Tamandua tetradactyla: one gene and its partners. The protein of the gene in region 1 interacts with the protein of each later gene in a biochemical or structural test. Links are inferred from orthologs where the notes say so. Each region holds a gene or a part of one and is shown on either strand. Other genes may lie near its edges.

Evidence for each region.
Region 2: the proteins of CDC34 (region 1) and CUL2 form a complex in vitro, tested with the Homo sapiens proteins (2 studies listed by BioGRID). The link is inferred for Tamandua tetradactyla from reciprocal best matches to the Homo sapiens genes CDC34 and CUL2.
Region 3: of the proteins of CDC34 (region 1) and UBA1, one has a biochemical effect on the other in vitro, tested with the Homo sapiens proteins (7 studies listed by BioGRID, with this or other methods). The link is inferred for Tamandua tetradactyla from reciprocal best matches to the Homo sapiens genes CDC34 and UBA1.

Annotation. Positions count from the first base shown.
Region 1 is NC_135337.1:82,391,093-82,401,966, forward strand, and holds CDC34 (ubiquitin-conjugating enzyme E2 R1), read right to left. Parts: upstream 5,837-10,874; 5' UTR 5,800-5,836; coding exon 5,623-5,799; intron 3,514-5,622; coding exon 3,427-3,513; intron 3,274-3,426; coding exon 3,176-3,273; intron 2,851-3,175; coding exon 2,656-2,850; intron 1,814-2,655; coding exon of another isoform or gene 1,783-1,813; exon of another isoform or gene 823-1,782; intron 811-822; coding exon 597-810; 3' UTR 560-596; downstream 1-559. UniProt on the Homo sapiens protein: E2 ubiquitin-conjugating enzyme that accepts ubiquitin from an E1 ubiquitin-activating protein, and catalyzes its covalent attachment to other proteins by an E3 ubiquitin-protein ligase complex. In vitro catalyzes 'Lys-48'-linked polyubiquitination.
Region 2 is NC_135327.1:216,102,993-216,113,753, forward strand, and holds the start of CUL2 (cullin-2), read left to right. Parts: upstream 1-6,137; 5' UTR 6,138-6,465; exon of another isoform or gene 6,466-6,842; intron 6,843-7,787; 5' UTR 7,788-7,857; intron 7,858-10,761.
Region 3 is NC_135353.1:123,055,967-123,066,419, reverse strand, and holds the start of UBA1 (ubiquitin-like modifier-activating enzyme 1), read left to right. Parts: upstream 1-5,657; 5' UTR 5,658-5,804; intron 5,805-6,765; exon of another isoform or gene 6,766-6,852; intron 6,853-8,707; exon of another isoform or gene 8,708-8,934; intron 8,935-10,453. Other genes in the region: RBM10 (RNA-binding protein 10), read left to right, coding at 204-310, 389-518, 624-749. UniProt on the Homo sapiens protein: Catalyzes the first step in ubiquitin conjugation to mark cellular proteins for degradation through the ubiquitin-proteasome system.

The DNA of each region.
Region 1 (10,874 bases):
AAGCTGGAGCAGCCCCCAGGCCTGAAGGCTAACCCATCCTGGGGTCACACTCCTGCTGTGGGCCAGGCCAGACCTGTGAGGCCGGGAGGGACCAACAGTGTCCCGCTGCCAATCCGCCACTGGCTCCTCCACATCCTGGGGCCAAGGAGAGGCTCTAGCTTCTCATAAAGTGGTTTTATTTAGATTCCAAACAAACCAAAGCAGAGAAGTGGTGGCCAGGAGTTAACCATCCCCTCAGGCGCTAGGAAAAGCCAAGCCTCTGGCTCTCCGCCCAAGTGCCGTGGCCCCCCGCAGCCTCCCGGGCCGGGCGCCTGCCTCCTGGAAGCCAGACCGGCTGAGGCAGGTGCAGGGCTCCGCTGTGCCCTTGTGGCCGGGGGGAGGGGGCTGGGCCGCCCCCCGCTTCTCTGCCGCAGAGAAAAACCCAGAACAAACACGGAAAGGGAAAACGGCCTAGAACGGAACAATCAGAGGAGGAGGGAAGAGAACACACGAACCTCCCGTGAGGTAGAGTCTGTCGGCGTTGGGCGAGCGCGGACCGATACAGTTCCCGGTCCCAGTGTGAGGTAAAATTTGTAAGTTTATTTTGGCCGGGGGTGTCAGGACTCCTCATTGCCTGAGTCGTCCTCGTCGTCCCCGAAGCAGCTGTCTGCCTCCTCCTCCACCTCGCCGTCCTCATAGTAGTCGTCGTAGAAGAGGTCCGAGCCCTCGTCCGGTGCCGGGGCCTTGGTCTTCACGCAGTACTCAGCTAGCGTGGTGGGCACCTTCACGCCATCGCGCTCCGCGTCCACCTTGGTCCCCAGGACCTGCTTCCTGGGGGGGACAGGGCAGTGAGGTGGAGCCTGGGGGAGCGGCACCCAGACCCCTGGCCCCTGCCCGTGGGCCGGCCCCCTAGCGCATCCCTTCACACAGTGCCCTAATGTCGGGCTGTCAGGTGTGCCCAGAGCCCAGGCCGCCACGTGCACACACACACATCCAGAACACACCCAGGTGCACAAGGAGGGCACAATGTCCCGTGGAGGGGGCTGAGCACACCCGAGCAGGCCACACGGCCTGAACGATGACAGCCAATGGCCAGGGGAGATGCTGGTCACAACGGGCAGTGTGTTTCCGGAGACCACGCTCATGAATGCGGGGTCCACGGGACCTCCTCAAGAAGGCACCGCCAGCACTGCACGGCATGGTCAGTGCAAGATGGGCTTCTATGCGGAATCGAGACCTCAGCAAACTCAACTCAAAAGACAGTCATCAGGTGCCACACACAGCCTGACCTCATTTCTCGATAAAAACAGTCCAGAAGGGTAGAATGAGGTGTCGGTTGCTAGGTTATTACAGATGATGGTGATTCCCCGTTTTAACTTCCATCTTTCTATTATGAACGTGCCTTCCACCCGAAGCCTCGCTTCTGCAGCTTCACTGACATGAACGGCACAGGGTGCCAGCACTTCACCTGGTGGCGGGCATCCTGTTGAACCCCTCCCACCCGGGGGCAACCCCACTACCCGACAGCCACCGCTGAGGAGCCTGTGCTATCCAGAACCCAGGCTGGGCTCACGTGTGAGCATGTCCACTCAGCGTGAGGGTCGAGGGATGTGTCAGCACCAGCCATTTGTGTGGCCGCACCACGGCGTGCTCGCCCCCACCTGCCGCTGGATGGTGGACGGTCCCAGTTTGGGGTGATGAGGAGGAGGTGAGCAGCTGCGAAGATCTGTGTGCAAGTGTCCATGGGGCGTGTACGCACGAGTGTCCCTGGGGCATGGATGCCCACTTCTCCTGGGTGAGCATCTAGGAGAACAATGGCTGGGTGGTGCAGTGGCTGTGTTCAACATTTCATGTTTTTGATAAAAAGGTAAACGATGAACAAAAAACATTTAGAAAGACCATAACGAAGGGTTAAGTTTGTCATAAAGCAACTTGGTAAACCCCAGCTGCACGTGTTTACTCACTGAACAATAGATAATGGGCACAGGAGGCAATTCACAGAAAGCAAAAAAAAAAAATCAAAAACAAGCAAGAAGAGGAGGTTCAACAGCTCCAGAGGTGTGAGCTGACGACTTACAAAACAGTTTGGTCCCTGGATCCAGTAGCTATGCTACCAAGAACCTATTTCATAAGACTCCTTCACACAAACATTCACCTGTTTGTTCATAAATTTAACATGTTGCTTTTATAGCTAGAAAAAAAGTGGCTTTTCATAAAAGGTTCTTTCTTAAATATGCTCATGTTATGTTTTTTCTTCTTTTAGAAAATCACTCCAAGTTTAAAAACTACAAATATAAGGAATGTTCCTGGCACAAAAGAAACTAACTGCAGAAAGCATCATCTTCATATCGCGTGAAATCAGCCATGGCTGGCGCGGCCACGCTCTTGCCAGCAACGCCAGGAACACCAGCCCTGAGGGGTGCGGGGCATGTCACTCGGGTCTCTCGATTTTGTGATGAAACAAAGCCACGGGACAAAGCCCTGTTAAGGCCTGGTGGTGGGTGCCTGGGTGCGTGCATCTTCCAGACTCTAGAGTGACTGCCTCAGTGGCCTGGCTGTGACCCCAGGTGAGGGGGCCGCAGGTGACCAGCAGTGTGCAAGGTTTCAGCCAGCATGGCCCTGGCCGGCCGCCCCCGCCACCCCTGATGCCACCCCTGCAGGAAGGAGCCCGCTCACCGGATAATGTCTGTGTACTCCCGGTCCTTCCCTTTGCTCTCCTTCCACTTCCTATACATCACGGAGGCATCCACATTGGCCGGCGAGAAGGTGTTGGGCTCGTTGAGAAGGGAGATCACACTCAGCAGGATGGTCCTGGGGAGCAGTGGGCCAGCGCTGGCCTCAGGGACTGCCCAGAGTCTTGGGGCACCCAGCCTGCGGCAGAGCTTGTGAGCAGGAGCTGGGCCTCAGGTGGCTGCCCCTCATGGGGAAGCCTGCAAACCTATGCTTCCTGGCTTCTCAGGGCCCAGTGGGGGTAGGGTGCTTGGACACCCATGAAGTCAGCACCCCAGCCACCCCTGCCAACCTGAACAGCCTCTGGCCTCTGCAGGACCTGGAGAGCCAGCCCTTGTTTAGGTACTGCCCAGAGAATGCCCCCAGCTCGGAAAACTACCCTGAGACCGAGGGACACCCAGAGAGGCAGTGTTTCCCCAGGGACTCGGCATAGCGGAGCCAAGAAGGGGGCCGTGAGGGTCCTCACCTGACATTCTGGGTGGGATTCCACCGCTCTGACGGCAGCTCCCCACTCTGGGGGTCGTCAACTGGTGGGTGGAGAATGGAGATGCACACGTCCCCCGTCTGCGTGAGGGTGGGAAGGGCAGGTGTAGGTTAGAGTGGCCCCAGCGCCCCTGGCCACTCATGGCCCCAAGGCCCCTCCATCAGAACTGCCCACTGACCACCATTTACAGGTGAGAGAACTGAGGCCACCATAGGAGGTAGGTATCAGCTCACCTCGTAGATGTTTGGGTGCCACATCTTTGTCAGGAACCGAAATGCAGGTGGTGAGTACGGGTAGTCGATAGGGAACTTGAGGCGAGCCTGTGGGAAGGGGTGCAGGGGTGCGGCTCAGGGAGGCTGTATCACAGTGGGCGCCTGACAGAAAGGCCTGACCCAGCCACCTCCAACTACAAGCAGCAGCACGGTAGAGTGCACAAAGTACCTATGCCCACCCCACGTGGCCTCAGGCCCAGCTGGCCCCCGTAGCCCAGGGTGGCGCAGCTCCGAGGCGTGTCAGGTGTCTGGGCCCCAGCTGCGAGTGTATTGGGGTGGCCAGCAGCAGCAGACAGCTGGACACGTTGGCAGGGGCTTGGGCCACAGGGTCCCTTGAGCAGTGTGCCCAGAGCAGCCATCAGCCTTCTCAGGGCTGTCTCCCGAGCTGGGAGGATATGCTGGGCTGACGTTCCTGACCCCTCCTGTGGGCACGGAGGTCACCAATCATTGTGACACCCCCACAGCAGTGCTTGTTCTTAACCAGTGCTGGGGGGTCCTGGCAGTACCTGGTCCTAGGACTCTGCAGGTGAGCAGGAAACCCCAGGCCCTGCATCATAGGGGCACCTGCTTTGGACTCTGAGAGGGGATACTGGGGGGGGTTCTGTTTGTGGGGGACAGGCATGAGGCCCTGGGAGGCAAGAAGTGGCAAGGAGCTGGGGCTAAGGCCCCACCCAGCACCTTCCAGGCCCTGCCTGGCCCCTCAGAGATACCCTTTGGGTATGCTTTGGGCCCCACAAAGGGAAGCATGCACCCTGGGGCCACAGACTGGCCTTTCCCTCAGGTGCCTGCTGCAGAGCCCACCTCTGTCCCCCACAATTTGCAAAGGAGAAAGGAGTAGGAAGGGTGGTGGCTTGGGAGAGAATTGCTGCAGGAAGTGTTTGGGAAGCTGCTACAGCTCCCAGGGAAGAGGGCCCCCCTACAGGGAAGGGCCAGCAGGTGGCAGCACACCCTCTGCAGCAGCCCACACAAACAAGATTACCCCCTCAAGGCCAGCTCCCAGGAGGGCCTACCCAGGGCCGTTGCCAGGCAACAGCAGCCCACAGCCTTTGCTTCCAGACCAGCAGTCCCCTCACAGCCCTGGCCTGACCCCAAGGTGGGATTCTGGGCTACCCCTACTGTGAGTAGAGCCTTTTTCATCAAGGCCAGCTGCTCCCCCAAGCAGACGAGAGAAGGCAGGGAACCAAGACAGCACGCACTTCAGCCCCAAACCTGTTCTCTGCAAAGGGAGGCCAGATTCCTGGGGCAGAACTGAGCAACAGGAACCCAGGGGTGCGCCCAGGACTGTCCACACTTGTCCAGGGTCCCTACCACCCCCTACATCTTGTTTACCCCAGAACTTGCCCAGCATTAAGGGAACCTCACCCACCAAGCCAGGCCACAGCCCAGGGGCCACCTTTGTCCAAAGTGCAAATGCAGGTCTGAGTGAGCTACCCCAACACCCGGCCCCGCCTGAGCCGGTCTCTGCCCCCACCCCCAAGGCAGGCAGGTGTAAGAGGGCACTCCTGCTCTGGGGGCTCATTCCTCCCATACCGGGAGGACCCACCAGATGGAAACTCCCCTGGTTTGAGCCCAAATCCCTTGTCATCTTGGACGGAAACAGTCTGCTCCAGGGGTGGCACGGCCTCCCAGTCCCAACCACAAAAACAGGAAGGAAGTGAAACCACGAAGCCTGAGACAGGGACCGCCTGGAACTAAACTCTAGAGGGGCCGAGATGTGGACCCCAGAAGCCGCCCGCCCAGCGCCTCGCAGGCGACACAGAGCCGTGAGCCTCCGCCAAATCCTGGGAGCAAGTTATATAAAGCTAGGGACAGGCTACAGCCGGGCGGGCCGCTGAGAAGAAGGATGGCCACTCTCCAAGCCGGGGCTGGCGGCCCAGGCCCGGCCAGGCCTTTGTTGGGACTGAGCCAGTCGCCCCAGGCAGGGCCTCCCGCCGCCCCACGGGTCCCATGCTCCCCAACAACAGCAGCTCGCAGGGCCGGGGAGGCCCTTTGTCTCCTGGGGGAGGGTCAGGGAAGGCAGCTGCCTGCAAAAGCCGCCAGGGCGCTCCTCCCTCCAGGGGCCGGGCCGAGCCGTCGCGGGGAGAGGTGAGCAGGAGGCCCTCGCCCAGACCAGGCAAGTAGGGTCGCGAGGGGCGGCCGGGTCCGGGTAGAGCTCACCTTGAAGTAGCCGCCCTCGTAATAGGTGTTGGGGGGCCCGAAGATAGCCACCTCCCAGTTGTACAGGTCGCCCTCGTCCACCAGCGTCACCCGAAAACCTTCGACCGGCTCCTCTTGCAGCCCCTTGAGCTCGAGCAGTAGCGCCTTCTGCGAGCTAGGCACCAGCGGCCGGGCCATGGCGGCGGGGGCGGCGGCGGAGGGGCCAGGGCCCGGGACCGGGGCCGGGGCCGGGGCCGGGACCTGAGGAGCGCTGGGCCGCGGGGCTGCCGCGGGCTCGCGAGACGGGCCGGGCCGCGCGCCGGCCGAGGGGGAGCCGCCGGGGCCGCCGCCGCCGCCTTGCTGCTCTGTGCCTCCGCCGCCGCCGCCGCCGCCGCCGCCGCCGCCGCCGCCACCCGGAGCTCCCGAGCGCTCCACTCGCTCTGGCACCGCCGCCGCCCGCCCGGCCCTCGCCTCGGACCGGCCCGCGCGCCCCGCCCCGCGCTGCGCCTGCGCACCGCGGCCAGGCCCAGACTACGCCTGCGCACCCGCCCGCGAGGCACGCCGGGAAGCGAGTCCCCCTCCCCGGCCCCGCCTCGCGCCCTCAGCGCGGCCGACGGGAGGGAGGGGGCCGAGCGCGCAGGCGCCTTGGCGCTTCCGCCGCCCTCCGAGGCCGGGGCTCCCTTCCGCTTGTACGAGCACCCCGGATGCCTGTGCGCGGGGAGGCGGGCACGGTTGGGCTGCACCGGCCTCCGCGGGGCCCTCCGGGGCCTTGGGGGCCGTTTTTGTGACGTCCCGGCAGGGGGCGGGGCCCAGAGGGCGGGGCGGCCGGGGTTGGGGTCGCTGCCGGATACCGGTGAAGTGGCGAGCTCCCGAGCCTCGGTTTCCCTATCTGTAAAGAAGAGGCGCTCGCGCCAAGTAGACAGTGTCAGAGGGAGGGCAGCGGTCTGCAGACGCGGGTCCTAGACGGAAAATCCTCAGTGTCTGGTCAAACGGGGCGCTAATAACGCTCGGGGCAAGACTCGGGCCTGGGGCGCGCGGGGCGGGGGTCCTGCGGGGCCGTCCCACTTGGGGTAGGACATGCTGGAATCAAATCATGAGAGCCTGGGGATGAATGGAGTCCTCCTGGCTCGGCGGTCACCCAGCAGCAGTGACTCAGCGGTTGACTCCGGACAGAGGTCCCTCCTGATCCAGCAGCAACCCTCAGACTGGCCCCTGACTCCTATCCGATCCGGGCTGAGTCTGACCCCCGACTGAGCTAAGACCATAGCTGAACCTTGACTCCAGCTGAGCCCTGACTCTGGCTGAGGCTGACCTCAGTTGAGCCCTGACCCATCCCCCCAGCTCTGACCCTGGTTGAGCCCTGACCATGGCTAAGCCGGGAACCCTGCTGAGCCCTGACCCTGCTGAGCCCTGCTGTAACCAAAAAATGAATTAACAAATGATTATGATTGATGAATTATTATGTAGATGTTTTTTTCTTTCTAGATTGTAGAATAGACAGTTAATCCCTGAAATTACTGGAGTTCAACAAGTCCTAGCCCTGTGTGGACTCGCTATTGTGATGGTAAAACATCTCTTGTTTGAATCCATAAAAAACGAACTCCATAGACTCCAGGAGACAGGTTTGGGGACTGATAGGCTTTCTGCTCTCCTTCTTTGCGCCCAGCATTAAACTCTTTCTCTCTTTGAAACCCTGCTGTCATGGATTGGCTCTTTTGCCTGTGGGGCAGAGAACCCACCAGGATCACTGACCCCAGGTGACCCCTAACCACAACTGAACCTTGACCCCAGCTGCTCCCTGACCCCGACTGCACCCCATGCTGAGATCTGACCTGGCTGAGTCCCAACCCTGCCCGGGTTTGCCTGGTCACTTGGGCATGGAGGGGGTAGGGTGACAGTTTGGTCTGAGGGCCCCCCTCCCCCGCAGGTGTGACCTTGTGGCCTGTTGCCATGGTGACCCCCCTCTGCCCCATTGCCCTCAGCTGCACCAGCACCTCAGCTGGCCCTAGGGACACGCCTTCCACCAGGTGCTCTAATACCTGGCCCCCAAAGGACAGGCAGGACAGAAATCAAGGTGGTCCCAGAACTCAGGCCTGGTTCCCCCAATTTAGCTCCCACCCATAGCCCCATGTTCTCAGCGGAAGTCCTAGGGCTGTGTCTCATTGGCTGGCTGGGAGTCACATGCTTTCTCCTGACCCAATCACTGCAGCCAGGCAACTGAAAGGCTCTGATTGGCCAGCAGGGGCTGGTGGCCACTTAGGTGAGGATGCTCAGGTGGGGTGGGGGCATGGGCTGAATGGGGTCCCCCCCAAAAGGGTACAGTGAAGTCCTAACCCCTGGCACCACTGTATAGGACCTTATTTGGAAATAGGGTCTTTGCAGATGGAGCTAGTTGAGATGAGCTGGGCCCTAAGCCCCCCATGACTGGTGCCTTTGTCAGGGTAGGGGAGGTGGTCGCAGGGATCAGAGTGCTGCAGCCATAGGCTGAGAGCACGGAGGCTGCCAGCCCCCAGTGCTTCCGAAAGTCAGGCAAGGTCAGGGAGAATCCCACCCACAGGCTTCACAGGGAGCATGCATGCCCCTGCTGTAACCTGGGCTTCAGACTTGTAGTCTCCAGAACGGTGACAAAGTAAATTTCATTGTTTCAAGGCCAGTTTGTGGTCCTCTGTCCCAGCAGCCCCGGGGCCCTGGCACAGGCAGTGAGCAGTGGAGAGGCAGAGGGGCAATGGTGTAGTAAAGAACCCGTGTTGTGGCCAGTGGGGGTGGAGGGGTGTGTGTGCATCCGGGTCACCTCCTGAGTGCCTGGTCACTGCCTTGGTGCTCGGGTGGACAAGGGGCCCTCCACGAGGCCAGAGACTCCTGGGAGAGCCGGGATGGGGTGGACTGAGCAGAAGCACCGAACTGGACCCAGCAGGCCTGGGTGTCCTTGAGATGTCCCCATGCAGACGTCCAGGAGGCAGCTGGCTCCTCCATGTCCTGGCCCGAGATGTGAATTTGAGTCCTTGGCCACCAGGTAGTAATTGAAGCCACAACTTGGCGGGATGCCAAATAGGAGGGCATGGGACGGAGGAGAGGCCCTGGAAGGTGGTGCGAAGGGCCTCCCACCAGAGAAGCTGGGAGAGGGGACAAACCTTCCAGGGGGCTGCAGAGGGGCCACCACGGGAAGGGGGCAGGACAATGTGGGTGGCACGAAAAGAGGGTGTCAGCCGAAGGGGCAGGGTAGGGTGTTCATCACTGCTGCCAGGTCAGTGAGGGTCAAACCAGGAAGGGGAAGCTGGTAGGGGAGGGCCACGCAGGGTGGTGGTCCTGAAGCTGGGAGGGGCTGCTCTAGGCTGAGCTCCACGGACAGGCACAGGGCGGTGTTTGTGTCCTCTGGTCTGTCCCCCGGAAAGAGGCACAGAGCCTTGTAGGTGCTGTGGCCCCCAGGGGTGGGGGCAGCCATGACTCACCAGAGCTGCAGAGGGACCCTGGGTGGGCACCATCAGCATCCACTGGGAGTCACCCCAGCCCCCTCATCACTGGGGAGCAGGGTCCACCCAGGGAACTCGAGTCTGCTGAGATCCCCTATCCCTGTCCAGGTCTCTGGGACCTCAGTCCACCTGCCTGTAGGCTCCCTGAGGGCAGGGACCCGTCTCGCCAGCATCGCTCCAGCCCCTACCCCGTGGGGGCTAAATCTCTACTGCTTCTGGAATGTGTCCTGTATGTGGGCACATGACACACAGTAATAATGGCTGATGCTTGCAGAACTGGGCACTGTTCATCAGTACCCCAGGTACTCACTGCTGCTTAACAAAGCACCCGCTGTGGGCTCGGCTCAGGGCCCTGCAGGGTGGCACTGCAGGTGGAAGACCTACCTGGGTCTGGGCATCCTTGCAGGTGGGGCTGCTTCTCAGGGCAGCCTGGAAGTCACAGCGTGCCGAGTCACCAAACCACTCCAGCTTGGTGTGAGCACATGGAGGCCCAGTGGTGCTCTGCTGCTTAGGAGGAGCATGGGGGACTAGAAAGGTCCAGGCCATTTTGGGAAAATGAACGATATCACAGTTCACTCACTTGCTCATTCATTCATCACTCGCTTTCAGTCACTCATTCATTTGCTCATTCACTCAGCCACTTGTTCATTCTTTCACGCCCTCATCCACTCACTCATTCACTCATCCACTCCCTCACTGCCTACCCTATCCTACACCCAGTGCTGGGAAGTGGGGGGCACAGGGTTAGCTCCTGCCACGATGCACCTTGTAAAACATATCAGAACAGGGGCTGCCCTGAGCCCTGTCTAATAGAGGAGACTGAGGCAAGGAGTGGAAGCCACGTGCCAGCCATCACTCAGAGCTGGGACTCTGACCCCGGCTTCGCTTTCTGCTCTGCACACAATTCTGGGCCCAAGAAGTGATCCTGCTGGGGGAGAGGGGGCACCCAGGGGTGCTTGGTGAGCATCCACCAGCTTGCCTACACGGTGGGGCGTTGGAATCTGGGTACATCCTCATGGCAGGTGGAGGCAGAGGAGGGTGTGGCTTCTGGAGCCAGGGGAGGGCAGGGTCTGGATTAAAATCTTGGCTCAGCCTTTGCATTTGTTGACTTCAGGGGTTAATTTCAGTGGTTTGGACAAACCCTGGCCCCAGCACTGCTGCTGTGGAGGGCCTGTACATGGGTCAGCATCTGTGGGTAAAGGCGGTGGCCCATGATCACGTCGGTGGGCTCCACCCAATCAGTTGAGGAGCCCAAAGAGCAAGCTGTGGGCTTGCTCAAGATTTCAGCATCACTCTTAATGGAATTTACTCTTAATGGAATTTCCAGCCTGTCGGTCAACCCTATCTGGGGATTTCAGATTTGCCAGCCCCCCAGCCACATGAGTCAGTTCCTTAAAATAAACCCGTGGACTTGCACGCAACACATGCTGTTGGCGGTTTCTCCAGAGAACCTGGCTGACACGCTCTTCTCACCTCGAGCTCGGTTCCCACCTGTACTCACGGGGCCGTGGTGAGAGTGAAAACAGCGCAGCAGAGGCTTGAGAGCTATGCTAACCACCCTCTCTGGCAGACAGCTGGGAAACCAAGGCCAGGGAGGACCCAGTGGGCAGGAAGCAATAGCCTGTCCCCTTGGCCTCCTGAGCCTCTGGGGGCCAGGGCAGCCAGGCAGCTTGCCGAGCATCTCCCTGGCCTCCGCCCTCCATCCCCCCGATACAGCCAAGCCGGGGGAGCCCCGGCACTTGCAGGAGACACGACCGCCTCTGGGTGCAGCGGGGCCTGCTTATGGGGGTCCCTGGCCCACTG
Region 2 (10,761 bases), on another chromosome or scaffold:
AAGTAGGAAGAGAAAGAGAAGTACAATATTTTCCTTTAGTACTGGGATGAAGCAAATTCTTAAGTTTTTTTGGAAAGTAGGAAATCTTCATAGTTCAAGTATAGTTTAAGTAGCAACAGCAAGCAAGTTTTAAAAAATAAGGGAAGAAAATGACTTCATTATTGTAAAGCTTGTCATTCTCAACCAAGTCCTTTGAAAAGTTGGGAGTAGAGGGAGCTAGCTAGGAGAGAGAAGTAATTCCTAGCAGCTATATACCCAAAGTTAATAGGAATGTGCCTATAGCTATTAAAGATTTCAGGTGAAGATGCATAAGGAAGACAAAATGAGATGGTAGTAATAGGAAATTATACCACTTAAAAATGTTTTGTACTTTTTTGTAAAGCAACACTAGAGTGACTTTCAAATAAAGATTGTAAACAATCTTAACGCTTCTGTGTAGAAATAGAAGCTCCCAGGAGCACTATCTATAAATAAGTATTTCAAATTCTTGTAAATAAGGTCTTTAATATTTCAAACATAAATCATAAATAAAAACAGGAGGTGAGGTTTGCCAATTAGATTAAAGTCTACTTCAATTTAATTGCTTGATATACCTATTATTATTTAAGAAATCTTAACTCTTTACTAAAATCACCAAACAATTAACTATTCAAGTGCCGCTTTCTTTTATAATTTCCCTCCACCCCTGTCTGCCTTTGGCTATTTTACAGTCAATGAACAGCAGAATCAGCTGTTAGGGAGAAATGAAATATGAAATTCAAATAATCATGGTTTATCTCCACTCTAATCTCTACCATCACTTGAAAATCACACATAAATCCCACAAATTTTTATAGTGGAGTTATTTGCTTGACTAAAGAAGTCATTGTAGGGTTTTTCTTTTCAAAAGCATGCTTCATTACTGAATTTTTAATGTATTCCAAAATACTTATCTACACATCAGGTATAAATGCATTTAATTACTAATTAGTGAATCTGGAAAAGGACAGAGAAGACACTTGAGTTAGCTAAAGTTCAGAGAAATGAAATACAACGTATGATACTTACCTAGATTGGTCCTATCTTGAGTCTCAACAAAACCGGTATTTTTCTAATGAAAATGAAATGCCTAATTAAGTTAAATTCAACTCTTCTACTAATTTTAAATGGAATAAAAGCATCCCAGTGTCTATATACATAATATGGATCTTTTGTCTGTGATATAGTTGCCCCAATTCGAGAGCTGGAATCTTTAACCATCATTAATTATGGCATATAAATTCCTGTTAAAAACATTTCTAAGCAAAACAAAACAAAACAAAAAAAGTGCTATCAATGAAAAAACTCGAGGCTCAAAAATTGAGGCTCTTTTAAGATAACAAAACTGGATGACATTTTGAGTTGAGATCACCTTAACTTTAATGCTTCACCAAAATAACTTTAAAGAAACTGAGTTTTTGTAAAAATTCTTTAAATAATATATTAGAATCACATATATCCCACTATTAAAATTTCACAGGATTTTATTTTGACATTTTAATTGGCCTGGTTGTATCATTCAACAGGCCTTGTTAAAAAGCATGCATGGAGACCGTCTGCACTTTGGAGAACCAGGAGCCTTCAAAAGAACCTGAAGGAATTGCTAGAAAGGTTTCTCAGCACAAGCATTTCTTTCCTTATCAGTGAGAGTTTTTTTAAAGCAATCTTTAAGCAAAACTCCACAAAACTTCCCATAAAACCAGTCTGCTTACCTCCTATTTATAAAATTTATTTCAAATACATCTTGCTGGCAGTCTCCTCTAACACTCCCGAGAAGGTCAGTCATGAGATACACAAAACAGAGATCGTTTTATTTTTTACACTTTGCTATAACTGATTTATACAAATAGGACTTGAGATGTTTTCAAGACAGTAATATCAATTACCGACTCATGCATCAACAAATAAAAAGGGTACTATCAAGATAAATTTCCATTGATGTCATTTTTAAGTTTTTGTCTTCATTCTCTTATTCTATACTGGATATCCTAGAGACACAAAAAAAGGAAACCTGGGAGTGGAAACATTTACTTTTAATAACAGCATACTCTGTGGATATTTTATTGTGCAGTTTCCATGGTAAAACATATTTTAAATGCCCTTCTATTCTTTAAAAGTAAATTATTATGGAATCTTGAATAGGGCCTGAGATTTGGTTGGTCTGCTCAGGTAAGTGGATTTCTCAATAAATCCCAGAGTACTGTGGGCAATGAATAAAGAAATATTCGCAAAGTCCGCTTGGCAGACTGGGGAGAAAGGAGGAAATATTCAACTTCCTCATTTGGAGAATTTCTGATACTCTTGCAAGCAGTGGAGACAACCAAATCAATAGGCCAAGCCCTCAGTCTTGGGGTTTGTTCCTATGGAACTTATTCTTGCAAGGGATAGGCTAAGCCTACTTAAAATTATACCTAAGAGTCATCCCCAGAGAAACTCTTTTGTTGCTCAGATGTGGCCTCTCTGAGCCAACTCTGCAAGTGAATTCACTGACCTCCCTCCTACGTGGGACATGACTCCAGGACGGTGTAAATCTCCCTGGCAACGTGGGACAGAAATCCTGGGATGTGCTGACACCTGGCATCAAGGGATTGAGAAAGCCTTCTTGCCCAAAAAGGGGAAGAGAGAAATGAGACAAGATAAGATATTCAGTAGCTGAGAGATTTCAAACAGTCCAGAGGTTATCCTGGAGGTTATTTTTATGCATTATATAGGTATTCTTCAGTTTATGGTGTATTGGAGTGGTGGAGGGAAGTACCTGAAACCATTAAGCTGTGTTCCAGTAACCTTGATTCTTGAAGATGACTGTATAGATATAATGTTTACAAAGTGACTGTGTGACTGTGAGAACCTTGTATTTGATGCTCCTTTTATCCAGGGTATGGACAGATGTGTAAAACAAAATGGATTTAAAAAAAATAGGGGAGACAAAGGTTAGAATGAATTGAGTATATGGAAATACTAGTGATCAATGAGAGGGGTGAAGTGTATGGCATGTATGAGTTTCTTTTTTCTTTTTATTTTCTTCTGGAGTGATGCAAACGTTCTAGGGGATGATCATGATACGAATACACAACTATGTGATGATACTGTGAGCCACTGATTCTGCACCATAAGTGGAATGTATGTGTGTGAAGATTTCTCAATAAAAATATTTGAAAATTATAGCAAAATTAAAACTAAAAATTGAAAAATAAAAAATTAACCTAGCAATTAAAAACGTTTATTTCTTCCTATGTGTAACAGATGAGATACATTTTCCCTGGAATCTGTATTTTTAAGTTTCCCTACTGATAATATTGATATCGAAACTGTATTTGATACATGATAACTCTTCTCAAAGTAGGTTTCTCTACATGGAATCTAGCTGTTTCATAACGTATAAACCCTTAACAAAATTCAGACATTTCAGGCTTATTTCCTTAGCAATCAATGCTGACAGTACATCAAAATATCAATGGCTTAGCTAAGTGTTTGCATTGTTCAGTTTTAGTTTGAGAAATCTATATAGAAGGTACAAGACATGTGAGAGCTTTCCAATACATTATTCCAACAATAAAGCTGGCTCAATTTTCTGGCCCAATGTTTACTTGGAGAAAATATAAATTTGGACAGACTCAGAAATGGTTAGCTGTACCGGTAAAGATGTGTCCAGGATTCCTTATGTCTATTAATAATTTGAAACCCTTCCTTAATTTTCATGAAATGGCCATAATTCTAAAGACGACTTCATATGTCAATGATGCAATGACTCCCCTCAATAGGAAAATAGAATACAGTAGAAAACCAGAAGACCTACGGGACCTGTTTCTTGCTAAATTCATCAGTAGAAGCAAATTTCAGTAACAATGCAAAAACAAAGACTAAAAAAGCTCCTGTATTTATACATTTAATAAAAATTTATTCACATTGTCTTACAAAAATAGGGATACAAAATACCAGTGTAAATACATGTGAACACTCAACCAAATGATTCCACGCTGACCATTAACTCACTAGGAAAGCATATGCTTACACTGATCCCTTCAGAGTCACCAAAAATGTCTGTGATTATCAACACTTAACATGAAAATACTTTGTTTTACTCATTCATATCAAAACCATTTAAATATGTCTTTTTAATTGTATTTGGATCAATAAGTAATTCTTTAAAAATCATTTTTATTAATACTTAATTAGCATTTATTGGTCAAAACATTGTTTGAAATTTACCTACCTCTGGGAAGGGGGAATTTTTTTTTAAGTTACTTTTAAATTCAAAGATTTAAAGGCTGCTATTATTTTATTATGTGGAAAGAAACTTGTAACCCACGAAAGAGGATCAACAGTAGTAAAAAAATGTAGCATCCACAAGGAAAAAAATTGTAACTGTTTGAAATAAAAAGTTATTGATCAGTCTTGGAGATATTGTGTACACCTTTGTTTTTAACAATACAAAACAGCTGCAAATATACTGAGATCATGATCTAAAATCGTATTTCAAAAATCATGACATTAATCATAGGCATTTGAATTTGAGTTTTAAACTACATATTTTCAGGTTTTCTTGGTGTTAGTTTTTAATAACTACAAGACAGAGAACACGAATAATTAATGTAACCTAATACAATTTTCATACCTGATCTGCGCCTCTAGGATTATATTCAAGGGAAGGTGGTTGCACTCCATCAGTTTAGCAAATAAGCAGAAACTTGATACAAATCACGTAGGTAAGCCACACTGTAAGAAAGGCTCTTAAATTTTTACTCAGACTTCCGGGCTGACCATGTAAGTCAAAATTTCTGAAAATTTGACTGCATTATTTAACACAACGCAGAAAACGTCTAAGTGGTTGCCAATTTAGAGCTCTGGTATACACGTAATGGATAGCAGGATGAAGAACTATGCTGAATAATGCACTTATTCCCTACTCGACAGGTTCTAGGAACCTTGCTAGGTGACCCTAAAAGGGCAAACATCAGAACAAGAGAAACTGCGCTTTCTACCAGCTGGAACGGATTTGTTCCTCCTTCACAAGCAGTATCTCATCAGACCTATCGTGTCCGGACTCAAGAGATTCAATCGCGATGCCCCTCTTACTCATATTTCAGAAGAAATGGGTCACGTCAATTCATTTCTAGACCGAGTACATAAAACTGAGACGAAGATGTTATTAATCGTCGGCTGCGGTAAACAAAACCAACATTCGCAATTCTCGTTTCTTTTTTTTTTTCTTTTCTCCCCCTTTCCAAAGAGTGAGAACCGCATTCATGAGAGCAATAAGGCTTTTCCGACTTCTCCCAAGTTCAGAAGAAGTCGAGGAGGACTTAGAAATCTGCCGAGCCCGTTTCAGGCCTAGGAGAGTTATCTGATTAAAATTAAAGCAACGAGCGAGCCAACTGGAGGAACGAGGTGGACGAGGGCGCTAAAGCGGACGCGCTGCGCATCTCCACAAGGGCCAGGGGGCCGGGCGAGGTCGGCCTGCGGAGGCTGCGGGCTCCAGTCCTGGGCCGGGCGGCTGGTGGCGTCTGGCAGGAGGCGCCGGACTCGGAGCGGGAAGCCCCCGGGGCCGCCCGGCCGCCGAGCTGGGGACGAGCCACGTCTGGGGCCGCGGTGCTCTCGTCGGGGCTGGTCTTGCTGGCGGGCCCGGAGCACGGCCCACCTCGGTCCCGGAGGCCGCTCCCGCTGGCGACCGGGTTGGACACCGGCCGCCGCCGCCGCCGCCGCTTCCTCGGCGGAGCCCGGAGCCCGGGTGCCCGCCAGCCAACCCGCCGCAACCCCAGCCCTCCGGGCCGCGGACCCGGGCTCCGCTCCGCCTCCTTCCTCCGCCTCCTGCTCCCGCGTCGCCGACTCCTAGGTCTCTAGGTCCGGGGCAGACGCGCAACTTACCCGCCGCGATGAGTTTACGTAGCGGACCTCGTCACTGATTACGGACGGGAGGAGGTGGGGACGCCGAGCCGGGCCCGCCGCTCAGGAGCAGCGCTGCCACCCAGCAACCCCGCGCTGGCGCCGGCGGCGGACCCACGTAGCCCCCACGTCAGCTCTGATGCGGCAGCCGCAGCCTCTTCGCCTAGTCGTCCCCAAATGTAGCGCCGACGCCGACGGAACCGCGTCCCCGCGCCCTGTCCTCCCCTCCCCCACTCGGCGACCGCTCTCCCCGGGAACGCCCGGAGGGGAAGTCCAGGCCTGAACTCCGCCCCCTGCCGGCCGCCAGCGGGAGTGCGGCGCTAACAATCCAACAATTAAATGGAACGGAAGGGGGGGGGCCCTACGCCGCGGCTGGGAGGAGGAAACTGACCTGGGGGTGGGGAGGAAGCCCGGGCGGGGGTGGAGCCGAGGGGCGGCGCTGGGAACCGGAAGCACCCCGAGCGATGCTGGAAAAGTGACTTGTTGCACACCCGCTAGCGGCCTACATTTGTGTCGAGAAGTCATCTTTTTTCCCGGCTGGCAGTCGCTGCAGCCCCGGTCAAGGTCTGTGGCCATGGCGGCTCGGTCCCGGGTCAGCAACACGTTGTGACAGGAGCGGGCTTCGGGAGAGCGCCGCGTCTCCCGCGACCGGTGACTGGTCCACCGTCCTGAGGAACGTCTGGGGCCTGCGGGACCCCTGCTGGACGCGGACCCCTCCCGGAAGTCCGGCTGCCCGCCTTGTCCTAGCTTTCTGCCGCTTCCCCGGTGACCTTGGCACAAGTTGCTCTTCCCAGTGTTTCACTGTCGCAGAGAAACGATAGTCCGCACTAAAAGATGTGACGGAGGAGAGTAAGGTTTTCTCTTAATAAGCAAAACCCCTGCCTATAAAGGAGGAGAGCTGAGTTTTCAGCCAAGTGGAAATCTTGGGCTTTCAAGTTAAGGTTTGTGAGAGGAACGTTTCTAGACCTGTTGTAAACTATACACCTATTTGTATATACTTAATAGGATACTACGTCGTCTTTAACACTGGTGTAGTAGGCTGTCCAAAATTTAGAATATTGAGCCTAAAAATAAACCGTTTACACTTAGGAAAAAGTAAATTCCTAACAATGATTGAAAACCCAACTCTGTGATAGTCAGGAATTCACGCTGGAAACCTCTGTCAAGGTCAACCCCTTCGGTACACTCCTTGAAGAGTTGCTGTGAAAATAAAAGCATTTATCAGTGTAGTGCAGGCAGAGAAGGGAAGCTTTGTGAGATATTGGGGAAAGTCCGTGCAGGTTCGGAAAAATGCTGAACTCTTGAGCGGTAGGTTTTGACCAATCTGGGCCAGTAAACTAAGCAGAGGTAAGAGAATAAGTACCCGGCAAGTTCATTTCCCTTTTGGCACAGGCAGAATTGTGTAGCAACAATGCTTGTCCCCACCTTTTAAATATTAATTTCTTATTGAGGAACATTAGCAAATTAATAGAAAGTCAAAATAAATACAAAGTTAACCACATCCTGTTTGAGTGTGTAGTTAGACGAGGCTGACACAGAAAATGTATCCATAAGTAATCAGTGCAGCTCATTTTAGCCCAGAAAAAAAATGGGTCATTAGGAGGAAAGAAAACTAAAAAGGGCTGGACTACTAAATCCTGAAAAATTATACTATTCATTGTTATGAAGGTTGATCAGGTGATAGAAGTCTAGTTAAAATGATTTAGGAGAAATTGTGATAATTTCTGTTTCCGAAAGACTGTTCTCCACCTACTTGATTATTCCTAAATTTCCTTAATGAAGGATAAATTATATAGTTAGATTTTGTTAGAGAAAGTGCGTAAAATGGAAGTATGGAGTGGTAAGTGACATATACTAAGATGTTAATGTCATATCGAATCCTCAAGGGCAAAGGAAGAAAAGTCCGGAAGACAGTGCCTAGAATCTCCAGGGAGAGGACAGAAGTTATCAGGAAAGGTAAATGCAGTTTCCTATTGCTGCTATAACAAATTACCACAAACTTGGCGTCTTAAAACAACCCAAGTTATTATCTTACTATTTTGTAAGTCAAATGTCTGACACAGTTCTCACTGGGCTAAAATCAAGGGTTGGCAGAACTGGAGGCTCGTAGGAAAGAATCTGTGGCCTTGCCTTTTCAGCTTCTAGAGGCGGCCGGGATTCCTTGGCTAATGGGTTTCTTTCTTCCTCAGTCTTCAAAGCCAGCAACAGTTGGTAGGAGTTTGGTTCATGTTACCATCTATTTGATTCTCTCCTCTCTCTCCTTCTTCCACTTATAAAGACCTTTAAGATTATGTTGCCCCACCTTGATAATCTGGAGTAATTTCCCCAATCTCAATGTCATTTTATTAACAATATTAATTCCATCTATAACCTTAATTTCCCTTTGCCACCTGTCTTTGTTTGCCAGGGCTGCTGTAACAAGTACCATAGACTAATTGGCTTGAACAACAGAAGTCTATTGTCTCATGGTTCTGAAGGCTAGAACTCTGAAATCAAGGTGTCATCAGGGCCATGCTTCTCTTAAAGGGAAGAATATCCTCCATATCTCCCCTGGCTACTAGTTTGTTACAGAATAGCTCAGTCTCTGGCTCAGTCACATGGTCATTCCTCTCCCTGTCTCTTTCTCTGTGTCAGAGTTTCCTTGCTTGTTAGAATACCAGTCTGATCAGATTAGGAACCACCCTACTCCAGTTTGGCCTCATCTTTACTAATCACACCATCCTATTTCCAAATAAAGTCATAGTTACAGGACCAGTGATTAAAATTTAAACGTCTTTTTAGGGGACACAGTTCAATCCTTAACACTACATAACTGTTATAGTCACAGGTTATAGAGATTAGAATGTGAACATTTTGGGGGACCATTTCTCTGCCTACCTGCAGGAAAGGATTCCAAAAGAAGCTTAAGTTCCTGAAGATAAACTACCCACCTCTCAGTATCATCTCTTCCAAAGCATTCAACCATTTGATAAGAAATTTTAATAACTGATGTTTCACTTTCCCATATCTATGCCTAAGTAAAGATTATAGTAATTTTTTTTTGCATGCTGTATGGTGGGGGTAGCATTTCACTCTTTTTCCATGTGACTATCCTGTTATTGCAGCACCACTTGTTGAATGTGGGGAGAGGGATAGGGTGGGGGGTGGAGCAGAAAGTGCATGGGCTGGAAATAAAACCTGGGTCTCCCACATGAGATTGTAGTAATTTTTAAAATGGGATATCAGGGATTAAGAAGAGCAGCAAGGTTATATTCTCATTTTCTACCATCAGCCTGGGTAGTGCCAGTGTCCTCATAATTTGCACTGAATAGAACCTAGTCTGTATCCAAGACATATCTTTGTTCAAATCTGATTTTCATAGATCACTTTCAGAGAACTGTGTTCATAAAAATTGTCTCTATCATAGAAGAGCAATTGTATCAAACCAAAAGAATCAAAGCCATGGCAATTTCTTGTTTTCAACATCTATTTTACAATGTTCTGTTTACTACCATAGCAGAAACTATGCCTTTATTTTTAGCATCTGTGCTGGTTTGAAAGGAAGTATGCCCCCTAGAAAAGCCATGTTTTAATCAAAATATCATTTTTTGGTAGAAATATAGATTTTGAAGATACCTCTGATGAGGCCTTAGACAGAAATGAGGCACGTGTTACTAGAGACTGGAAGGTCCCCCAAAATGTTCACATTCTAATCTCTATAACCTGTGACTATAAACCTGTGTCCTTGTTTTAAAATGGCAGATAATCTGGCAAAGCTGATTAGTGGCTTTGGCTGGAAGGCAGATTTTAAAAGCCGTGGACTCGGATATTTAGCAGAGGAGATTTCCAAACTAAATGTCAAAAGTGCAGCCTGGTTTCTCCTTGCGGCTTATAGTGAAATGAGACAGGAAAGAGATAAGATGAAAACCGAACTCTTGGCTCTCTCCGCCGGACCGCCGCGCGGCGCACGCGCCCCGCAGCAGCCGAGCCGCCCGACCTCCCTACCCCCTCTCTCTCTCCGCCGGACCGCCGCGCGGCGCACGCGCCCCGCAGCAGCCGAGCCGCCCGACCTCCCTACCCCCTCTCTCTCTCCGCCGGACCGCCGCGCGGCGCACGCGCCCCGCAGCAGCCAAGCCGCCCGACCTCCCTACCCCCTCTCTCTCTCCGCCGGACCGCCGCGCGGCGCACGCGCCCCGCAGCAGCCGAGCCGCCCGACCTCCCTACCCCCTCTCTCTCTCCGCCGGACCGCCGCGCGGCGCACGCGCCCCGCAGCAGCCGAGCCGCCCGACCTCCCTACCCCCTCTCTCTCTCCGCCGGACCGCCGCGCGGCGCACGCGCCCCGCAGCAGCCGAGCCGCCCGACCTCCCTACCCCCTCTCTCTCTCCGCCGGACCGCCGCGCGGCGCACGCGCCCCGCAGCAGCCGAGCCGCCCGACCTCCCTACCCCCCTCCTCCCCCTCCTGCTCCGGCTGCTCTCCAACCAACACGGTGCCCTCTTCCCCCGCCTTCACCGTGCTCCTCCGCCACCAGCCTCGACAGCCTTGCCGCCCTCACCTTTCCTCCTCCAGAACAACTACTGGGGGAGTGGAGATAATACAGAGCAGCTCCCGGAGCCACGAGGGAAATCAAAGGGACAGCGTACCCCATCCTGGAACGGCTGACTATCTGGGAGAACCAGCTCCGGTGAGATCACCAAGGGGCACGGGCTTTCCTGGGTGGGACAGCCAGCGACCGGAGTCCCTCCCTTCCACCTTCCCAGGCCAGCTGGTAGAATTGGACAGGCGGTCCCCTTAGGCCGCGGCGGCTGGTGCCCCCACCACACGAGGCCCCCCGGAAAAACTGAGATAGTTGGGTCGGAAATCCCCAGACTGCGGAGAACAGT
Region 3 (10,453 bases), on another chromosome or scaffold:
TGGACTTTTCAAGTTCTTCCAAATCCTCCCACCCTGGTTGTTTGCTCCCACAATGTCTTATCCCTCAGGACCAGGAACATCTCATCCGATTGAGCTCCCCATGGGTTCCAGGTCTTGTTCCCCCTATCTCCCTGCCCCTCTCCCCAACCTACTATGCATAGTGACCATCTCCCCACAATTCACACACACACAAAAACTTGCAGCAAATGAAGTACCGGGACCGTGCAGCTGAACGCAGGGAGAAGTATGGCATCCCTGAGCCGCCAGAGCCCAAGAGAAGGAAGTATGGTGGCATGTCTACGGCCTCTGTGTAAGTGTCCAGGGCCAGGTGAAGAGGGCCTGGAGGCTAGCAGGCTGATCATTCACACTGTACTATTGTCCTCTGCAGGGACTTTGAGCAGCCCACGCGAGATGGGCTGGGCAGCGACAACATTGGCAGTCGCATGCTCCAGGCCATGGGCTGGAAAGAAGGCAGTGGCCTGGGCCGCAAGAAGCAGGGCATTGTAACGCCCATTGAGGTGAGGCTTCCATGATCCTACCCCCCATCCCCAGTCCTCCCTACTACAACCCCATTTTGCCCCCATCTCCCCACTAAACTGACAGAACCTGTCTCCTTCATACAGGCCCAGACCCGGGTACGGGGCTCTGGCCTGGGTGCCCGGGGCAGCTCCTATGGGGTTACTTCAACAGAGTCCTATAAGGAGACACTGCACAAGACAATGGTGACGCGCTTCAATGAGGCCCAGTGAGCAACCAGGAGATCAATTTCTGCATATGTTGGGTGTCCATCCTGGGGCAGGGGAGGATGAAATTTTGGATAGTCTGAGGAGTCCCTACTTCTACCATCCAGCCCACTCCCCACCCAGGGAGGCCTGACCAAATCACACTTTGAGCTGGTGATTTTTATTGAAAAATTGGGCTGGGATCATGTTCTTTTTATAATAAAAGCTGAAAAGTCTACAGCTTGCATGTCTCTCTTTTTCCTCTTGTCCCCATATTGACAGGGACACAAACACAGATAGATGTTCAAGGGACCTTGTCAGGCTGAGGTGCGGGGCAGTGGTGGTACATGGTGACTATCAGCTCATTGGGAAGGTGGGGACAATGTGGGGTTCTGGCTGGTGCCCCCAAGACCCTGGTTACAGCCTCTCACCATTGTCAGGGTCCAGCAGGCCGTTCTGTACCAGGAAATCCAGCACCACCAGGGTACCATTGGGCTTGAAGTACCCCTAGATCTGCCTCTACAGAACCAGGAACTCAGAATACCCCCATCCCTGGCCTCATAGCCCCCCAGCTGCTCTTGATACACAATCTGGAGTCTACACTGTACGTTGCCATCCTTGGGCCTGGGTACAGTAAGTAACGTTGGGCATCTCCAAGTCAATACGGCAGGCACTGTCAAATCAGTTCCACTGCCCTAGACAGGCTAATGACCCCAGGGGGTTTGAGATAGAGAAGGCTGTCTTGACATGGAGGTGAGGTCACACCCATTCCTGGGCTTCCATCTCCATCCACAAAATCCCCATCCTCGAGCAGCTGGATTTTTCAAGTTCTTCCAAATCCTCCCACTCTGGTTGTTTGCTCCCACAATGTCTTATCCCTCAGGACCAGGGACACCTCATCCAATTGAGCTCCCCATGGCTTCCAAGTCTTGTTCCCCCTATCTCCAGGAACTCAGAATCCCCCCATCCCTGGCCTCATGGCTCCCCAGCTGCACTTGATCCACAATCTGGAGTCTAAAGTGTCTGCCAATCCCAGGTCCTAGGAATGCTCCCATGGGGCACTGGCATCTTCCCCAATCCCCTCCAGTCCAAATCTTGAGCGATTATTACCATGGTGTCCCCCTCCCCAGTCACTGCCAGCTAATCATCCACCTGCAGTTCCCAGTCATGTACGGTGGAATCTGAAGCTGGGCTTCCCCCTCTGGGCCAGGGAGGACTGCACTGTGAAATGGGACCAGGGACCCACCACCACGCACTTCCCCCCTCTCCCCACAGAAACACATGGTGGTGAGTTGAGAGGAGGGTGGAAGGAAAATGGTGTAGGAAGATCATTTGGCACTAAGCCTCTCCCCCCACTTAATATGCATTGTGCCACCATTCCCAACCATTTGTGTGCGATGAGTAGTGAGAAGAGGCCCCTAGAGGAGGCAATGGTGCTGGTTTGGGCAGAGGGGGTGGGTGTTGCTCAGTGAGAAATGGTGGGAGAAAGGAGAGGAAGGGGAAAGTAAGCAGAAAGGAGGAGGTGTGAATGAGGAGAGGAAATAGGACTAGAAAGAGGCCACCTCAGTCTCAGGATAGGTGTACCTTTTGGTGAAGATGCAGTATTCCCTCTTCCTACCCCCAGAGCACAGCACCTGCAATCCTACAGCAGAAAACCCTCATACATTGAACTATCATACATGTCTGGGGGTAGTGTAAAATGGTTCAGTCACTCTGGAAAACTGGCAATTTTGTATAAAATTAAACACACACTTGCCCTATGACCCAGCATTCCACTCTTATTTACCCAAAATAAATGAAAACGCATGCCTACAAAAAGACTTGTACCTTATGTTTATTGCAGCTATATTCATAATAGCCAAAAACTGGGAACAACTGAAACATCTAACAACAGGAGAATGAATAAATTACAGTATATTCATTCAATGGAATATAGTTCACCGATAAAAGGGAACAAAATACTGATACAAATATTAACATGGATGAATCTCACAGGCAACGTTGAGTGAAAGAGTGAAACACGAACAGTACATACCGTATGATTCCATTTATGTAAAGTTCTAAATTAGGCAGAACAAATTTATGGTGATAGAGCAGTGGCAGGGGTAGGGAGGATGTTATTCACTGGGTAAATGGTCATGGGTGGTCTCCGCAGCTTGTGCCTAGCAATAGGAATGTTTCAGGCTATGTGAAAGAGATCCTTCCTCATCTCTAACGCTCACTGCTGGCCAATCAGCCACCTGGAATTCCCAATCATGTGCAGTGGAAACTGAAGCTGGGCTGCCTGTCCTGGGCCAGGGACTGATTTGAAGAGAATAAATGGATTTTGCACCAAACCACAGGAAAGCCCAAAAACTCCATCCCACTCTTAAACCTACAGAGTGCCATTCCACAAATCTATAGATAGGGGGAGGAAGAGCCTGATAGGTTACTTTAAAAAAGAAAATGAAATCCCAGAAACTGTCTCCCTTGTGATACTCGATGCTGTAAAAAACAAGATCCAGGTGAAGATCAGCTATATAAATGATTGCCCTGACAGTGGCAGGATACATTTTGATAGTTATTGAGGAAAAGAAAACTGACAAAAGAAATGAGTCATTAACTAGCCTGAGCTCATTAAAACTGAGTAACAGAAGCATCTGTGATGACTGGATTTTGAAAATCAGAGAGGAATGTTACAGCAACTAGTCTGTATTGAAAAAGAGTGTGGCATGAGGATCCATTTCATAGAAGTATGGTTTGCACATACTTGCGCCATTACCTATTTCTGCTCTAGAGGTACAAATAGATTTTCTTTAAAAATTACATATTAGGAAAAGAACGAATGATGTCTTGTGTAATTTTATAAGGCTACTGTAATTTTGATCCCCCAAAGAGATGAGACTATACAAGAGAAAATTTCAAGCAAAAATTAAATATTAGCTAAATGGATCCAATAGTATATTTAGCAAATATATTTTGATCAGTTTTTCCCAGGAATGCAAAATTGGGTCAACATCAGAGAAGCTATGTAGGTAGTTCTGTACATTTACAGACTAAAAGTAAACAAACATAACCTCAACCACAGAAAAACAATTTGATAAAATTCAAGAATCCGTAAATCTGTACTCATAAGTAAATGGAGAAAGGAAAGCTCTTCCTTACAGTAGAATGCCAACTAATAATTCAGAACAAATGATGGAGTTCGAAAATCATTTATGAATGGTAAAACTTGTTAAACTTTACCGAGGAACAGGATATTAACATAATTTTATTAATATCAAGCATGTCTCAACTAACTTCGTATTTATTACAAAGGGAGAATTAGTAATTTTACAGTAGAGAAACCTGGCAAAAATGCTGTCTTAATCAAGGGATCAAAGTTAAAAGGGATCAATGTTAAAATCATGGAATAAGGATGGAATAAAAAGACAGCATCACTTCTGGGATATTTCCATGCAAGATATTAAACCTGAATCTAATCATGAGGAAACATCAGACAAATTCAAACCAAAGAACATTCTACAAAATAACTGACTTGTAATCTTCAAAGGTGTAAAGGTCATTAAGGTCAAGGAAAGACTGAAGAACTGTTCCAGACTAAAGGAAACTAAAGCAACATGACATTCGAATGTTCAAATCTCGCCTGCCAGGGCTACACCATTTAAAATTCCATTCCCTCCCCTATCACACTCCCTATGCCTCTTCCTTGGTTACTTTTCTCTCTACTACTTCTCCACTTGTAACATACTAGATACATTTTACTTGCTTTTCTGTATTATGTATCTCTTCCACTAGCAGGAAAGCTCCAAGAGGGAAGGAATATTTGTTTGCTTTATTCAAGGCCTAGAACATGGTTTGGCACATACCAGATCTTGGAAACACATACCACAACTGTTTGAATCACTCTCATCCTCAAAACTTCATTTTAAAAAGGCTAATATATAAAGAAGTTTTAAAGGAGAAAAAGCCATAGAAAGTACAACCAAATAGAAAATAAGCAAAGGACACGAATAGAAAGTTCCCAGAAAAAAACAAAAGCAAAAAATCCTTAAACCTATAAAAGATGTCCTAGCTTACTAATAATAAGAGAAATGCAAATAAAAATGAAACCGGATTGGCAAAAATCCAAAGGCTTGGCAATACACTGTGGGTGAGGCTGTGAACAAACAGGACTTCTCATTCATGCATTGCTGAAGCAATGCAAAATGGCACGGCCCCCCTCTCACCCTATGCCTCCTTCTCCTTTTCTTGCTTTTCTATCTCCATAGCATTTAGCAGTTAATGATACGTTTACTTATATAATATTTATTCATGTGAATACATAAAATACATAATATACTGTATTTACTATAAGACATTTATTATATGCAAAAAGATGTAAATCTTTTTCCTTATAGCTACTAGCTCTCATATAAAATATGTAGTATTTATATGTATGTCATATACAATGTATATCATATAATTACGTTTATTATGATACATATTTATATGTGAAACTAGAACTTTTACTTACTTATTAAGTTTATGATCTGTCTTTCTCCCTAGAGTATCAGCTCCATGAAGCCAAGGGAGACTCCCCAGCACCTGGACCACAATTTGAGCTTCATAAATGTCAAATGAATGAATCCTTTGGCTACCTGAGCCTTAGTCTTCCCATCTATAGGACAGGTGAGTCTATCGGTCTGGAGGCACCCCCATGTTCCGCTCCTTTCCCCCTTCTCCCCTAGCGCAGTGCCGGGAATCTCACCTCCCTAGCTTATATTTTCTCATAAACTGGGCGCTCTTGCCCACCACGTGCAACAGACACTGGCCAGATGGGACTACCACGTCCAGTGTGCCCCGCGCCGTCCGGGAAGGACCAAAATCTGTAGGGGTGTCTAGATCTGACAGGGGTGCCGATGGCGCGGGAGCACGGACGAACACCCCTCCTTCCAAGAGTCTGTGGTACGGCCCAGAGTGGGGGCCCTCCAAGGCCCCGCGCTTCCGAGCTCCGCGCAAACTCTCACTCCTATTGCGAGACGGAGGTGGTTTGCTCTTCCGTTGCCCCGTGGCTTCGGCTCATCTCCAGCAGGAAGGCGAGGCCTCCGCTCGGCGCAGGGGGTGAGCTGGAGCATGGTGACCCTAATCCCCTGGACAGCATTTGGGGGAGGGAGCTCAACTTCGGGGATACACTAGTGAGCACATTTGGAGGCTCCATACCCGGGGTGGGTGGCATTTAGCGGTGTCTGTTTTGGCAGGGACTCTTGGGAGGTGGTGTTTGGGGACTCCGGATGGGATTTGGGAATCTTTTTGGGAGCCCCCCTAGGAGGCAGGGTTTTGAGGGGTGTTTGGGAGAACTACGGGGCCCATGTTTGAGTACGCTGTCCATGGGGCAGGATTTGGGGTGTTTCCCAAGGGTGGGAGAGGAGGAGTTTAAGGTTCCTGAAGTCAAGGCGGGATTTTAGGAGGGTTGGTTTTAGGGTTCTCGTGACAGTGCTTGGGAACGTTCAGGACCGAGCTGGCATTAGGGAGGATCTGTGGCCTCTGTGATCCTGGTTTCATGATGGGGACCTCCCACACTTGGGGATCCAGGATAGCGAGACTGAACACGTCGGAGCCCACACGTTTTGGGGGAGAGGAGCCCCAGCCCAGGCTGGGGAAGAGCTGCAGGAGCCCAATCCACTAATCTCTTCCTGAGAGGACTTGGTGCCACCAGGCCTCCATTGGCCGCGGCTTTATTCATTATTCATGAGGAGGTGGGGCCGTGGGGAAAGCAGATTTTTGCCTCTTTCGCACCTGGTCTGGGAAAGCGTCGGGTTGTGAATTATTCATAAGGGGGCGGTTCAGCGTGCTGCAGGGGCGTTCTGAAATCAGCCACGCCAAACTAGAGCTCATTGATTATTCATGCAGGTGAGTAGAGCCCTGAGTCTTCTGTGACCTTTCTAGGGACGTTGGTCATAATTCGCGAGGGGCGTGGCCTTTGTGGCTTCATTTACGTGATCAGGGTTAGATTCTCGTATAGGTTCCAAAGGGGCGGGGTTTCGCGCATTGTTCGTAATACCTCACAGCCCAGTATTCCAGGTTATCAACAAAGGCTCTGCATTCCAATCCTATCGCTTTTGCCAGTTGTGTGGTCTTTGGCAAATCTTTCTGTGGGCCTGAAAAATAGGTATGAGGATAATGATAAGATCAACACCCACTCATTTATCACTTCGTTAGCCCATTTAATCTTCACAACAATTCTAGGAAGTAGGTTATTATTATCCCCTTTATAGACGAGGAAACTGGGACACAGCCATATAGCGAGGCTAAATAATTTGTGTAAGGTTACACAGCCAGTGAGTAACCAAGCCAGGATTCAAACCCACTCACTCTAGTTCCAGAGTCAGCATCTTAACCAAATTCCACTCACTCTAGTTCCAGAGTCAGCATCTTAACCAAATTCCATGATTTACACCTCCCCCAGTGTAATAGTGTTGCTACTAATGTTAGTCAAATCGCACTTACTATACTATGTGCCAGGCACTATTCTAAGTGCCTTATACATATTTATTCATTTAAACACCATCACAAGGTAGACTACTATTCCCATTTTACTGATAGGGAAATCAAGGCGGAGGGAGGTGCAGTGTCTGGCGCCAAGTCACACAGCTAGAGTAATCAGTAGACAGAAATGATTTTTGTGAGGATTTGAGACTTCTATAAGGAGATCACCTTTGAGCTGAGACCTGAAGGACAAGAAGGAACTTGTTTCCTCCTCTATATAACAGAGCTCATAAAAGCACCAACTTGCTAGGGTTTTCCTGAGGATATCGGTGTCATGGTGCATATATAAGGGTACACGACAGGAGTAATCAGTTAATGTGATTTATTATTGTTATTCAGCAGAAATGTATTGGGTGCTTATTATGTGCCTGGAGCTTTGGTATACAGTGTGTCTCTGGTGACCTAGTAGTCTGTCCTACCTAGTTCGTGGACTGTGGTGGCCATAGCATTCTGTTTTCCAGTGTTTTTCTGGGAGCGCACTTCAAAACAATATATAATATTTTAAACATTTAACATTTAGTGCGTTGTGCTGGCGCTGTTCTAAGCTCATTCTGATCTTCATAATAACTCATTTCACTCTTTTGAGATGGGTGGGTTCTATTACTATCCCCATTTCACAGTTGTGGAAACTGAGGCACTTGCCAAAGGCAAGTTTGGTTGAACCAAAACAGATCAGGTTGATGAGCAGTTTGTTGAGGGTGGGGAAGGGAGGCTTCACTCTCCCTTGGTTTTCTCTGTGGCTGGGCAGTATTATTCATGAACAGGGAGGCGTGGCCACGTTGCCTTGGCAACTAGGCTGCAAAACCATAATCCCTCCCTGCTGGGCGGGTCTGTTTTGAGTGTCTGTCCATCCAGCTTTATGCATAATTCATGATAGCTAGGTGGGACCTTTCTGATCTCTCTTGGTTTCCACGTTGAGCTGCAACAGCAGCGTCATTCATTATTCATGGCCTGAAGGAATGTGTTTTCCCTGCAGTAGCCCTATTTCCCTGCTTACAGGGTATTAGATGCAGCAGTAGGCGGGCCTGTCCCTTTTGTTCCAGCCCACCAGGCCTCATGGGTTATTCATGATAAGGATAAGAGAAGTGGTCTCGTTGGCTTCCCGGCCGCTGCAAAATCATTCATTATTCATCAACAGTAGGGTGTGGCTTCCATGTTCTAACATCTGCTTTCTGGTTGCAGAATGTTAGTCAATCAACCACCCGATCATGCATAATTCATGATCAGGAAGCATGGTCCTGATGTCCTTTCTTGGTTACTAAGGCAACCTGGCTGCAGCAACTAATTCATTATTCATGTAACCTGGGGCAAGGCCTCTTTGTAGCTTTACCTGTTTTCCCAGTTAGTGCCCTATCAACCACCAGGTGGAGCTATTTACCTCCCAACCGTACGAGTCATACAAGGGTTGAAGACCTCATTCATGATTCATAAGTGGGCGCGGCCCGCTTGCATCCGGGTTTCTGGGGGTGGGGCCCAAGGTTTTGTTCCGGCCTCGGGCTCGGCAGCCGCCATCTTGTGTCGGCTGCTGAGGTGAAGGAGGCGGCAGGGACTAGCACCACCACAACGGCTCGGGAAGGAGAAAGCGGAGGCCCAGGCGGCGATTCTAGGCGGCCCAGGCGGCGGGGAGGAGGAGGAGGGCGGTGGCCGGGCTTGGCTTCGGCTCCTTGAGGCGTTGGCGGCGGCGCGACCCGGGGAACCGGCATTGGTAACAAACGACCTTTCTCATCGCCTTCCCCCGAGCAAGGGTTTCGGGATGCATTGGAGGAGCCTGGGCCGGCACTGGGTCGGGCTGATGTCGGAGCGGGTGGTAATGACTTGGTCGCTAAGGGTCGGCTGCGGGGGAACAGATCCTGGGGCGGGGTCAATTCCTGTCCGGGGCCAACCCCCCCATCCCGAGCTTAGAGATCTGACCTTGGGGTCAGACCCCCAGCACCTGCTTTTAGAAAGTCAGGTCCAGCATCTCTAGTCAGAGACCTGACCACCCTGTCCCGTACCTTGCATCTCAGATCAGAACTACCCCCAGTCGCCAATAGACAACCATGCTCAACATTGTTGTTTAAAGCCCCCTGCCAATGCATGCCATTAAAGACCTCCCCACAGAGTCTCCCTTCCACACTCCTAGACCCACAGGATTTGGCTTCACAGCTTTCAAGAGGGGTCCAACCCTGGAGAGAGTCCATCACTTCTCCTGAAAGAGAACCTTCTTCAGCATCTTTCTTCAGATGTACCACCCTCTTCCCTCCTCTTCTCTCCCACCCCATACACTATCTGCCCTCAGTTCCCGAGGAGACAGACCCTGTGCAAGGCCATTGGGCCTGACTTCCTTTTCAGACTCTTTCACATCTCATCAATCTCCCAACCCCACGCTGGCCTTAGCATCTTTCGTCAGCGACCCTCCTGGGGCCGGCACTTTTTTCAGAGACACACACCCACTTAAGCATCTGCTTTTAGAGATTCCTCCAATCCCTGGAATCAGCCCTTAAAGACTTGTTCCTATGTCATCTCTGACACCCCCAGCATTTGTACTCAATGACCCACCTAACCCAACTCCACCCTAGCCCACTGTCTTCTATCAGAAAACTCTCTGGGCCCAACATTGTCCTTCAGACACAACCCCAGTATCTACTTTTAGGAAATGACCCTTTTTCAAGGTCCCAGTATCTTTTTCAGAGACTACCCTTCAGAGGCTTCCGCCTTTCCCACACCCTTAAGTATCTTTCCTCAGCACTTTCTAGGGGACCAGACACCAAGGAAGAACTGTTTGGACATATAATCCTCCATCAGAGGTCTCTCCAGAAAGTGTTTGCCCTCACAGACCCTATTGAGCCCTAGCCACCTCTATCAAAGACTTACCTCCCTAACCCCACCTAAGACTCCATCTCTGCCTTCAAAAGCTGACCAGAATTACAGCTTCTCCTTTCACAGATCATTTAACCTCAGATCAGATCTCAGAATCTGTCTTCAGAGCATTTCAGGGGTCCCAGCTTCTTCAGTCAGAGGCTCTCAGCTTCTGCTTTCAGCCTCATAGGATTCCAAGATCATGGTCAGACATCTTTTTCCCCAACAGGTACAGTGGTCCCTCATAGTAAAGAGCCCCCTTCTCAGCATCTCCTCTCAGAGCCTCCATGGACTCCAACATCATTGGTCAGAGAAACCTAAACCTGTTTCAGGATCCAGCCAATGCTTGCTTGCTGAATTTTCTGGGGCCTAAATGGTCTGGGCTC